3 linked regions of the Struthio camelus genome follow. The protein of the gene in region 3 purifies or fractionates together with the protein of the main gene of each other region. This does not show direct contact. Links are inferred from orthologs where the notes say so. Each region holds a gene or a part of one and is shown on either strand. Other genes may lie near its edges. The genes, in order: TCP11L2, DNAJB6 and tubulin alpha-1A chain.

Region 1 (3,743 bases), on a different chromosome or scaffold from region 3:
GTTCATATAGTATTACCAGTACAGTACTTCAGAGGACTTCACTTAATTAACGAGTTTCAACAGTGCAACATGAGACACTGAAAAGTTGCAACCCCTGCCAGAATAAATGGATTTCCTAGTAGGATTTCCAAATAGGACTTCCCAAGGAAAATGGCGAGGAAGAAAATGGGTGTATGCTGCAGATTCACAACATCGCTGCTAAATTGCAAGTTTAACAGATACGGGAGGCAGAAAGCACATCAAAGGAAACAAGTGGAATACACAAAGCAGAAGCTGGATATGCAATCTAGTGTTTTTAATACGCTGCCCAACAGCTAAATAGCACAAAGGAAAAACATTAATTGAGTATATCGAAGTGAAGTGCAAACTGAAGAAGGCTTTTCTAATTAGTTAGAACAATAGAGGACTGAATTGTTTAGTGCTTTCTCAATAGCACACACTGGAACAGCTTCTTTTCCGTATGCTTTTGTAGACGGTTTAGACCTCCTCAGAAGTTAAGAGAGGGCAAGGTTAATGTGTAATTTTGAAGTTTAGATTAATATAATTTCCAAGTAAAAATACTTCAGAAAACCTTTTAGTTTTCTAGGATCACTTTGTAATTCAACATCTGAACTAGACAATACCACCATCTTATTTGTAAGTTCTTCATTAGGAATTATATATTAAGCTGTTGTTTTAATAGACAACTTAATATCCTACCTATTCTACTAAAGAGTCAGACTCTGATTACAACCTGCTTTACCTTTCCTGTACTAAAAAGTAACTAATGTCTACTTTAATTAAAATAAAGGTTTGATAAGTTGGCAGTAGATTTCATTAAGCTTTTTTTTTTTAATCAGTTCTATTGCATTTCAGTATTTCAAGGATAAGCTCTTGGTATGCGACAAAGCTAGAATAACTTCTAAATGCCCAAGGCATCAGCCCATTTTCTCTTCTCTGTCATAACCAAGTCTTAGTTAATTTAAAAGGGAAGAAGTCAACTATCATGGATTCTGCTGCTGTTTGTACACAATTTCAGATTATGTGTTTTACTAAATCTGCAATGGAGCACAGCACAGCAGTTTTCTGACAGCATCCTACTCTTACACAGTCATTACTTCACCCAACCTCAGCATTCACTGAGAGGTGACTAGATCACAAGACCAGGTGAAGGTTAGTTTTAGGGCACCTTCCAGTCACACTCAACAACACACGTCTTTACCCCTTTGGTATTACCTGGTCCACAACATCTCTCCCCCTCTCACACACACACACTTTTACTCCTAAGCATTTAATAGTTATTTTATGGAGCACCGGGAAAGAAGCAGCAGCAGGTTTTGTTTCTTTTCAGATATCTTCAAGTTTTTTTTTTTTCCCACAGCCCTGCTTCTGCGCACGCTTCAAGCACTCTGTCCTGTTTTACCACTATGAACTGAGTTGTGTTTATCCCACTGGGCTTATGCCCTCCAGAGCTGGCATCTACTGCATCTCCTTTGGGCTAGAGTTTCCCTTCCGGACTCGGCCTTTGCCAGCACTTGGTCCGCGGTCCCACGGCCCAGGAGGAGAAAAGAGCCTTTGTTAAGAGCTACAGAACCTCCTCGGCCCTCCCTTCTCCCCTTCCCAATTTTGACAGCCCGTTTCTGACAGACTTTTCTGACAGCCGCGCTGCTTCACACCCTCCTGCAACGTAACGCGCTTTCCTCAGGGCCGGGGCGAGGGGCAAAACCGCCCCTCGGCGGCGGCCCGGGGTGACCCTTCCCCCCCGCCATGTTGTGCTCCCCCCCCGCCATGTTGTCCCCCCTCTCCCCGGCGCGGTGCGGGGGGGGGGGGGGGAGAAGGAGGAGGAAGCGCCGCGGGCTCCTCCTCTTCCTCCATCTGTTTAGCCCCGTGTCTCCTCCCCCAGCCCCATGTTTTTTAAGTTAGCAGAGGCAGGAGTTTGGCACTCGCCGACCAAAACAAACAGCGTTTCCAAGGACAGGCCCGGGGCGGGGGGGAAGGAAGGGAGGAGAGGAGAAGGGGGCACCCTCTCCGCCAGCCCCGGGGAAGGTGACAGCGGCTGCCAGGCGCGGCCCCGCGGGGTGGGAGAGGGGCGCCGGGCACCCTGGCCGTGCGGGGCAGCCGCGGCGGGGACGCAGCCCCGGGGTGCCCTTGCGCGGCCGGAGCGGGGCTGCAAGGACGGCAGCCGGTGCTGCTCGTCGGGCCGGGCCGCCCCGGCGGACAGCGGCCATCAGGGGATGGAAGAGAGACAGCCCTGGGCGTAGGGGGCACGGGGCGCGCGGCGGCCACCCGGGGCTGCCAGACCCACCGGCTGCAGCGGATGCCCCGGGGCAGCTGCGGAGCCTCCGGCCTCGCCGGGAGAGCAGAGCAGCCAGTGCTCGCCGCCCGGCAGGGTAGGAGCCCCCCGGCCACCTTTAACCAGCCCCAGCTCCCCCCGGGCACTCACCGCGGCGACAGCAGCTCACCCTACTCAGCGGCGATCGCTGGGGCTTTAAACACCCCCCCCCCCCCCCCCCGAGTTATATACCCGGCCCGGACTATTAGTCTCTTCCTTGGGCGCGTCCATCTCCTGCCGGGAGCAGGGGGTGCTTAGCACTTTGCTGCATGGCCAGTAGCGAGTTATCCCGAAGGACCTGGGTTAACCTTCTCCCTACCGCCATACAAATCATTCTTGCGTCCTCATTTTGTCCGGAGCCGAGCACTAAGCGTGGAAAAAGATGAGTTTACAAGGCAAGACGCTTCTACTGCTTCTCCCTCCTCCCCCCCCTCCCGCTGAATGAGCCCTGCCGGGAAGCGGGGGGAGAGGCGAGAGGAAGGGCCGGGCGGTGTTTACGGAAGAGCCGCGTCGGTCCAGCCAGACCCCGCCCCTTCGCCAGGGGGCGGGGCCTCCGCGCTTAAGCCCCGCCCCAGGGAGCTACCTCGGGGTGGGGGAGGGGAGGGGAGGGGAGGGGAGGGGTGGCGGCGGCCCCCTCGCGGCGGGGGCCGTGTGGGGCGCGAACTGCCGGCCTTCAGCAGGGCAGGAGCGGGCACCGGGCACCGCCGCCCCACGGGCGCCTTCGCCCCGCTCTGTTCATAGCGCTGCCGAGGAAGCTTTGAATGTGCCCCCCAGAGGCTTCCCTGCCCCGCTGTCCGCTGCCCTCCCGTCGAGGCGCCACCGGCCATCTTGGCCTCAAGGGAGCCCTTCGGGGCTGCGTCCGCCGTCACGCTCCCGCCTGGCTCACGGCTGCGGCATTGCGAGGCCGGGCGAGCGCCCGCTGAGGCACGCGCCGGGAAGCCCTACAGCGCTGTTATAAATTATAAGTGCTTTGCTTACTGCTGCGTTGACCTCATCCGCGGAGCCGGTTCGGAGACCCACGGCGGGTAGCAGGACCTGTCAGGCCGTCATCTCTTCCTGTCACGGGAGCTAGTTTGCCACTGCTGCCCCACCTCGCAGGGCAAACGCTGGCGCCCATCCGAGGCAGGGGCTTACTAAAGCAAGCCTCCGTCCTTACCAAGACACAGGCCTCGCCTTCCTGCAAACAACTACTTCATCACTAGCACGTGTGACAAAACTATATGGGGCTAGACGCTGTATTCAGAGGGCCCAAGTCCACCGTAGGTCCTAGCGATACGGCCTCGGCTATAAAAGCAAGAGCGCAAAGCGCATCCTGCGTGAGGTGGAGTGCTTTTCCAAGAGATGCAGAGCCGTGCCGCTTTGTGTCCAGCCTTCAGGGAGATTAAATGGGATTAGGTCTAACAGCCTAATAGCTTCCATAAGGAAGAGGATG
Region 2 (3,743 bases), on a different chromosome or scaffold from region 3:
AAAGAAAACAATAATTTAAACCCCAGATCAAATATAGGAGTTTTGATTTAAATTTATCTTGAAATACACAATCATCATACATAAGATCCACTAAGCTTTAACAGAGCTAGATAAGTTTTCACTAATCCTTCCATTCCTTGAATAAATCAAGTTACTTTATAGATTTAAAAAAAAAAAAATCATTTTCCGTTAGCAGAAAATGAGTTCAGGATACTGCTGATTAGGTTCTTCATAAATGCTACTGAAGAAATGCATCATTTACTACGTAAGGAGAAAAATACTGGAATACTAAACACTGCACAACTCTACGTTCAAAATCAAGGCTGGACTTCACATTTTCTAAAATCAAGGCTGGACTTCACATTTTCTAAAATCAAGGCTGGACTTCACATTTTCTAAAATCAAGGCTGGACTTCACATTTTCTAAAATCAAGGCTGGACTTCACATTTTCTAAAATCAAGGCTGGACTTCACATTTTCTAAAATCAAGGCTGGACTTCACATTTTCTAAAATCAAGGCTGGACTTCACATTTTCTAAAATCAAGGCTGGACTTCACATTTTCTAAAATCAAGGCTGGACTTCACATTTTCTAAAATCAAGGCTGGACTTCACATTTTCTAAAATCAAGGCTGGACTTCACATTTTCTAAAATCAAGGCTGGACTTCACATTTTCTAAAATCAAGGCTGGACTTCACATTTTCTAAAATCAAGGCTGGACTTCACATTTTCTAAAATCAAGGCTGGACTTCACATTTTCTAAAATCAAGGCTGGACTTCACATTTTCTAAAATCAAGGCTGGACTTCACATTTTCTAAAATCAAGGCTGGACTTCACATTTTCTAAAATCAAGGCTGGACTTCACATTTTCTAAAATCAAGGCTGGACTTCACATTTTCTAAAATCAAGGCTGGACTTCACATTTTCTATCAAAATCATCACTACATACAGTAAAAACAGACTGTTTGCTGAAACCTGAAAGTCCAATACATTGACTCAGTCAAGATGCACTACTTCTCTACAGCCTGCAGCACAAGAGCAGAATGGCTAACACAAGTGGTGTGGCATTTCAGTCAGTTGTAGGACTCCAGAAAGAAAAGCAAAAGAAACAAACTACACAAAAAAGTAAACATAGGAACAAAATTTATGAAAGCATTTACTCACTGGTCCAAACAAATCTTCTCTGACAACATAATCCAGCAAACTAAATTGTACTTTAACCACTGGGCTCTTGATTCATCAACTGAACATATAATCCTTCCTGACTGGAAAACAAGGAGCTCCCCAAAGTGTAAACAAAACTTAAGTCCAGCAAGCAGCAGTAACTGCAATCTCAGAGGACCAAGAGTTTGAACCCAGTTTCATTCCAGCTAGTCACACTATGTCAACACCTTGTTCTTATCACTCTTTGATGCTTTACATCATATTAAAAAAAAAAAAAGCACTTGACAACTGATTGACTATGCAATGTTGCAAGTTTGACCATTTGCACATTAGCATCGCTGCAAATTCAGCTTCTATAATGTTATCCTGGCCAAAATGAAATCAACCAAGCATTATCTCATTATCAGAATTCATGATAGATTTGCTCAATGTTTTCAGTCTCTTCTAACGCTCAAGTCTGTGGCGCATTTCATCAACCAGCACAAGCTCTGACTGTTAAACTGTAATACAGCATAAAGTGTTACTACAAGCAGGAATACTGGTCATAAATAACTTCACTTCCCAACCCACGGCCCTCTCCTAAGTCCTGAAAATACAAAGCCATTTATAACTTGGACACCTCTGGCCACCACTCAAATGATGTGCTGCCCTCAAACACAGCACATCATACTGAGCCTACTCTGTAAGTTAATAACAGCAAAATAGAATACAGCTTCCATCGCAAAAAAAAAAAAAAAAAGCAAAAGCACATTCAGTTTATAAACACACCAAAAAGTAAACTACGAATAAAAGAAGTTCAAGTAAAAGACGATCCAACACACTCAAAAGAGTCATGGGTGAACAGAGACTCCCCCTCACCTTTTTGCTACTGGCAACCGATGCAAACAAAAACAGAAATGCGGATTTTTTTCCCCCTAGCCCTTCTGCGCTTGCCGTAAACAGGAGAAGGAGGCCGAGCCGCCTCGGGATCCTCCGCTGCGCAGTCCCGAACTGCCGCTCCGCCACCGCGACTCCCGGGATAAGCCCAAGGAGGCCGCTGCCCGCGGGGGCGGCTCCCCCGCTCCCCGCCCCCGAGGGCCGGGGATCCCCGCCGCCCCGCTCCGCTGCCCACGCAGCCCTCGCTCCCGCCTCCCAGGAGCCGCCGCAGGGGCTCCCCAGCGCGGCGCCCCCGCGCCAGCCCGCAGCATGGCGGCCGCCCAGCCGGGCCGAGCCGAGCCGGGCCGAGCCGGGCCGGGCCCCACACCGCTGCCCAGAGCCGAGGCCGAGGCCGGCCCGCCCTGCCCGCCGCCACGGCCTTCCGCGGCCCGCCCAGCACTCACCGGCCCCGGAGCCTCAGCAGCGCGGCCGTCACCCTCCCCGCCCGCCCGGCGCAACGGCAGCGGCGGCGGCAGCGGCACCTCTCCTCGGACTCAAACGGGAAGTCTCGTCAACGCGACGCCGTCACTTCCGCCCGGCTGTTTCCGGAAGTTTCTGGAAAGGCGTGCTCTCGCCGCGGCCGGCCCGCCCGCCGGGCGCCGCGCGGGCCGACCCCGCCCCCTGCTGGCTGCCCGCCGCCCTGCAGCGCGCGCGCGCGCGCCGCCGGGGGGGGGGGGTGGGGAGGGGCTGCGTTCGAACCTCCCCCCTCCCACCAACGGCTGTAACGGCCGCCCGCGCCCGGGGGTGCCGGCCCCTCACCGGAGCCCCGGGGGCAGAAGAGCCTCTGCAACGGCCCTCCCTGCCCCAGGGCACGGAAAAGTGAAAAGGCTGATTAAAATCCCTACATGCCCATCTCTTTTTTAGCCTCAAAAATTGTAACCCTTCCCCTGAGCTTATTTTAAGGCTACATTAATTGTTTTCCAGCTGGCACCTGTACAGGTTCCTTTGTGGCTCACACTGTGCTGTCTGAAATTTAAGTATCCCTTGGGTCATGTTTTGAGTATGTGGTTTTCTGACGGCTGTGAGAAAAGCGTGAGCAGGGAGAGCATAGCATAAGCTGCCAAGTAATAATTCTATTTTAAAAAAATGGAGTTTATCCATGCTTTAAATTGCTGCAAAACTGTATTTCTTGCCCTTTATTTAAAAGAAGTTGCATAAAGGCATTGTTTTATGGATCAGTGAACTGAAATTAGAGAGTTTCCAAATGTAAAACCTATCTGCTCCCAAAATGAAGTTAATTCAAAGGCTACTCAGGAATTTGGAGATGAAAATGCTTATGTCGGAGTAAGATGTACCAACGCAAGAAGGAACAAGCAAGCTTGGAATAAGCCAGAGGAAAACCTAATAAAAATCAGAAAGGTAACTGGTAGGATAGCCCTGGCTTCGAAAGAAATTTAGCTGCAGTGAGATTTGATGCCAAACTGGGGTCATGAAAACAAGTCCTTAATTTACATCAAAGACATACCTAGCACCAGTGTAAGTTTCCCGTCAGCAATTAGCTGTGAAGTGCAGAAAGTTTTTGACCCACTTGGAAAGAAAAACAAAAAACGAAGAACAGTAGGTTAGACTGGCTCTTTCTAACAGGTGCAGTTGCAAACCTCAGAAGATTCAAGGTCTAGCAAGCTCAAGGGCAAACTGCAGATGAGTACTCTCTAGTTCAGGA
Region 3 (3,743 bases):
CAGCACCGAGGGGGGCCGGGGGCTGGCGCGGCCCCGAGCGCTCTCCAGCTGCGACGCACGCTGCTGCCGGGAGCCGCCGGCCAATGGGAGCCGCCCCGCCAAGCCGGGCGGCGCAGCCGGATTAACATTAATTAATATATTAAATCTAAATCCAGCCTTGCTGGTCAGGAGGGAGGGCGAGCTGAAGAGGAGTCTTTGTCCTTGTCGCCCGCCCACCAGCGCCCCCCGGCCCCTACCAGCTTGCGGATGCGGTCGAGGACCAGGTCGATGATCTCTTTGCCGATGGTGTAGTGCCCCCGGGCGTAGTTGTTGGCCGCATCCTCCTTGCCCGTGATCAGCTGCTCGGGGTGGAAGAGCTGCCGGTAGGTCCCCGTGCGCACTTCGTCTGCGGGATGAGGCCAGGCACCCCGTTAGCGCCGCCGGCGGCACCACCACCAGCACCGGCACCCCCCGCCCCGCGCTCACCGATCACCGTCGGCTCCAGGTCCACGAAGACGGCGCGGGGCACGTGCTTGCCGGCCCCCGTCTCGCTGAAGAAGGTGTTGAAGGAGTCGTCGCCGCCGCCGATGGTCTTGTCGCTGGGCATCTGCCCGTCGGGCTGGATGCCGTGCTCCAGGCAGTACAGCTCCCAGCAGGCATTGCCGATCTGCACGCCCGCTTGGCCCACGTGGATGGAGATGCACTCGCGCTGCGGGGGGGAGCGGGGGGCGTGAGCCAGCGCCCCGGCTCTGCGCCCCCCAGGTCCTGCCAGCGCCGGCTCTGCCCCCCACAACGCTGCCCTGTGCCTTGGGCTGGATGGGGCCAGCCCCTGCACCCGCTCTATTGTTCTGTGGGTGCTGGGCACTGCGGGGAGGGGAGGGGCTCTGCACCCGTGGCCATATCCAGCCCTGCTGTTTGGGAACCAGAGCCACACCCAGTGCGGTGTGGCAGTGCTCAGCACCAGGGACCCATCCTGCCCCACTGAACAGGGGCCACACCCCATGCAACATGAAGACCAGAGGGTCTCATCCTGCCTCACCCACACAATTGGACCACTGCCATCCCTAGTATATGTTGAGGGCTCAGCACCAGGGCGCTTATTCTGCCCACCCACACTCTGGTGCAATGCGCAGTGTGGGTTGCAGGCTCAGCACAGGGGTCTCATCCCACCCTGTCCTCCCCACAGACCCCACAGGGACCCCTGAGAACCAGGGCCACACCCACTGTGGGGCACTCAGCACCAGGGGCTCATCCAGCCCTGCCCACTTTTGGTGCTGTGCCCAGGGCAAGATCAGGGTGCTCAGCACCAGGAGAGGCTTATCCCACCCTGAACACCCCATTAAACAGGGGGGCCACACCCAGTGCAGACTGAGCACTCCACACCAGGAACGGGATCCATCCTGCTCCGTTAACAGGGGAGCCACACCCAGTTAATTGAGCTGAGCACTCCCACACCGGGTCCCATCCTGCCCTATTAATGGGGGAGCCACACCCAGTGAACCGAGCTGAGCACTCCGCACCGGGAACGGGTCCCATCCTGCTGCATTAACGGGGGAGCCACACCCAGTGAACCGAGCTGAGCACTCCACACCGGGAACGGGTCCCATCCTGCTGCATTAACGGGGGAGCCACACCCAGTGAACCGAGCTGAGCACTCCACACCGGGAACGGGTCCCATCCTGCTGCATTAACGGGGGAGCCACACCCAGTGAACCGAGCTGAGCACTCCGCACCGGGAACGGGTCCCATCCTGCTGCATTAACGGGGGAGCCACACCCAGTGAACCGAGCTGAGCACTCCGCACCGGGAACGGGTCCCATCCTGCCCTATTAACGGGGGAGCCACGCCCGGTGAACCGAGCTGAGCGCTCCGCACCGGGAACGGGTCCCATCCTGCCCTATTAACGGGGGAGCCACGCCCGGTGAACCGAGCTGAGCGCTCCGCACCGGGAACGGGTCCCATCCTGCCCTATTAACGGGGGAACCACACCCGGTGAACCGAGCTGAGCGCTCCGCACCGGGAACGGGTCCCATCCTGCCCTATTAACGGGGGAGCCACGCCCGGTGAACCGAGCTGAGCGCTCCGCACCGGGAACGGGTCCCATCCTGCCCTATTAACGGGGGAGCCACGCCCGGTGAACCGAGCTGAGCGCTCCGCACCGGCTCCCATCCTGCTGCAATAACGGGGGCGGGGAGCGGGGCCCCCGCCGCCGCGGCGCCGGGCGGTGCAGCGGGCGCAGAGGCGGCTCCCCGCCGCCACCGCCGCCCCCCGGGGCCCCGCGGCCGGTGCTCACCATGGCGGCTGCTCGGCTCCGGGGCTTTCTTACAGCACGACTCCAAGGCGGTCGATGTAAGAGACGCGGCGGCGGGCGGCCCCGGCGCGGCGCTTTATAGGGCGGGCGGCGGGGCCGGGCGGGGCGGCGGCGGCGGCGGCCATTGGCGCGGGGCCGCGATGAGGTAATGCCCCCCCGGCGCCGCCAGACAAAGGAGCGGCGGGGGGGGGCTCGGCTCTTTGTGCCCCCTCGCCTCGTCGTTCTCCAGCCCCGGGGGGGATGCGGCCGTGCTCGGGCTCCCTTCCCGGCCGAGCCCCGGTTCCCAGCCCCGGGCCCGGTCACGCCCTGGTCCCCATCCCCACCGTGCCGCGGTCCCTGTTCCTGGCTGTGTCCTGGTGCCCCGGTTCCCAGCGGTGCTCCGGTCCCCGTGACCAGTCCTGTCCCCAGTCCTGGCCATGCCGTGGTCCCCATCCCCACCGTGCCCTGGTCCCCATTCCTCACTGTGTCCCCATACCCGGCCACGCCCTGGTCCCCATCCCCACCGTGCCGCGGTCCCTGTTCCCGGCTGTGCTCTGGTCCCCATCCCCGCCGTGCCACGGTCCCCGTTCCCAGCACTGTCCCCGTTCCCGGCCACACCCTGGTCCCCATCCCCGCCGTGCCGCGGTCCCCGTTCCCAGCACTGTCCCCGTTCCCGGCCACACCCTGGTCCCCATCCCCGCCGTGCCGCGGTCCCCGTTCCCGGCCGTGTCCCCGTTCCTGGCCACACCCTGGTCCCCATCCCCGCCGTGCCACGGTCCCCGTTCCCAGCACTGTCCCCGTTCCCGGCCACACCCTGGTCCCCATCCCCGCCGTGCCACGGTCCCCGTTCCTCGCTGTGTCCCCGTTCCTGGCCACACCCTGGTCCCCATCCCCGCCGTGCCGCGGTCCCCGTTCCCGGCCGTGTCCCCGTTCCCGGCCACGCCCTGGTCCCCATCCCCGCCGTGTCCCCGTTCCCGGCCGTGTCCCCGTTCCCGGCCACGCCCTGGTCCCCGTTCCTGGCCGTGCCCCTGTTCCTGGCCGTGCCCCGGTGCCCTGGTCCCCAGCCCCATCCTGCTGCCCGTTCCCGCCGTGCCCTGCTCCTGGTGAGAGCCGCGCCGTGGCCCTGTTCCCTTGCCAGCCCTCTCTGCACCCCAGTCAGCCCCTTGGGCCCCACCGGAGAGCCCCGCGGCCGCTCCTGGAGCGGCTCCCGGGGGGTTTGGGCAGCGCCCTGCAGATGGGCTGGCTGCGGCCGGGGGGTTCCCAGCCCCAGCGGCAGCTGCTTCCAGGAGCAGCCGGTGCCTGGGACCCAGCGGGGGGCCAGCGGGGGGACGGGGGGGCCACGTCTCCCCCCTCCATCTGCTGCAGCCCCTGCGCAGCCCCCCTGCCCCGATCTGGTGCACCCCCCCGGATGCTCCCGGGGCCACGGTCCCGGTTTGGCCTTGGTGCAGCCGCCTGCAGAGCCCACAGCAGCTGG

The links.
Region 1: the proteins of tubulin alpha-1A chain (region 3) and TCP11L2 purify together in Homo sapiens (affinity purification with mass spectrometry; 3 studies listed by BioGRID and IntAct, counting the BioPlex papers as one, with this or other methods). This does not show direct contact. The link is inferred for Struthio camelus from reciprocal best matches to the Homo sapiens genes TUBA1A and TCP11L2.
Region 2: the proteins of tubulin alpha-1A chain (region 3) and DNAJB6 purify together in Homo sapiens (pull-down; 3 studies listed by BioGRID and IntAct, with this or other methods). This does not show direct contact. The link is inferred for Struthio camelus from reciprocal best matches to the Homo sapiens genes TUBA1A and DNAJB6.

The regions. Positions count from the first base shown.
Region 1 is NC_090942.1:61,813,921-61,817,663, forward strand, and holds the start of TCP11L2 (T-complex protein 11-like protein 2), read right to left. Parts: upstream 2,755-3,743; 5' UTR 2,423-2,754; intron 1-2,422. UniProt on the Homo sapiens protein: Promotes the migration of muscle-derived satellite cells (MDSCs) during differentiation throught interaction with FMNL2 and therefore may participate in microfilament assembly.
Region 2 is NC_090943.1:10,887,327-10,891,069, reverse strand, and holds the start of DNAJB6 (dnaJ homolog subfamily B member 6), read right to left. Parts: upstream 2,628-3,743; 5' UTR 2,485-2,627; intron 1-2,484. UniProt on the Homo sapiens protein: Has a stimulatory effect on the ATPase activity of HSP70 in a dose-dependent and time-dependent manner and hence acts as a co-chaperone of HSP70. Plays an indispensable role in the organization of KRT8/KRT18 filaments.
Region 3 is NC_090969.1:909,244-912,986, reverse strand, and holds the start of tubulin alpha-1A chain, read right to left. Parts: upstream 2,599-3,743; 5' UTR 2,276-2,598; coding exon 2,273-2,275; intron 689-2,272; coding exon 466-688; intron 386-465; coding exon 237-385; intron 1-236. UniProt on the Homo sapiens protein: Tubulin is the major constituent of microtubules, a cylinder consisting of laterally associated linear protofilaments composed of alpha- and beta-tubulin heterodimers.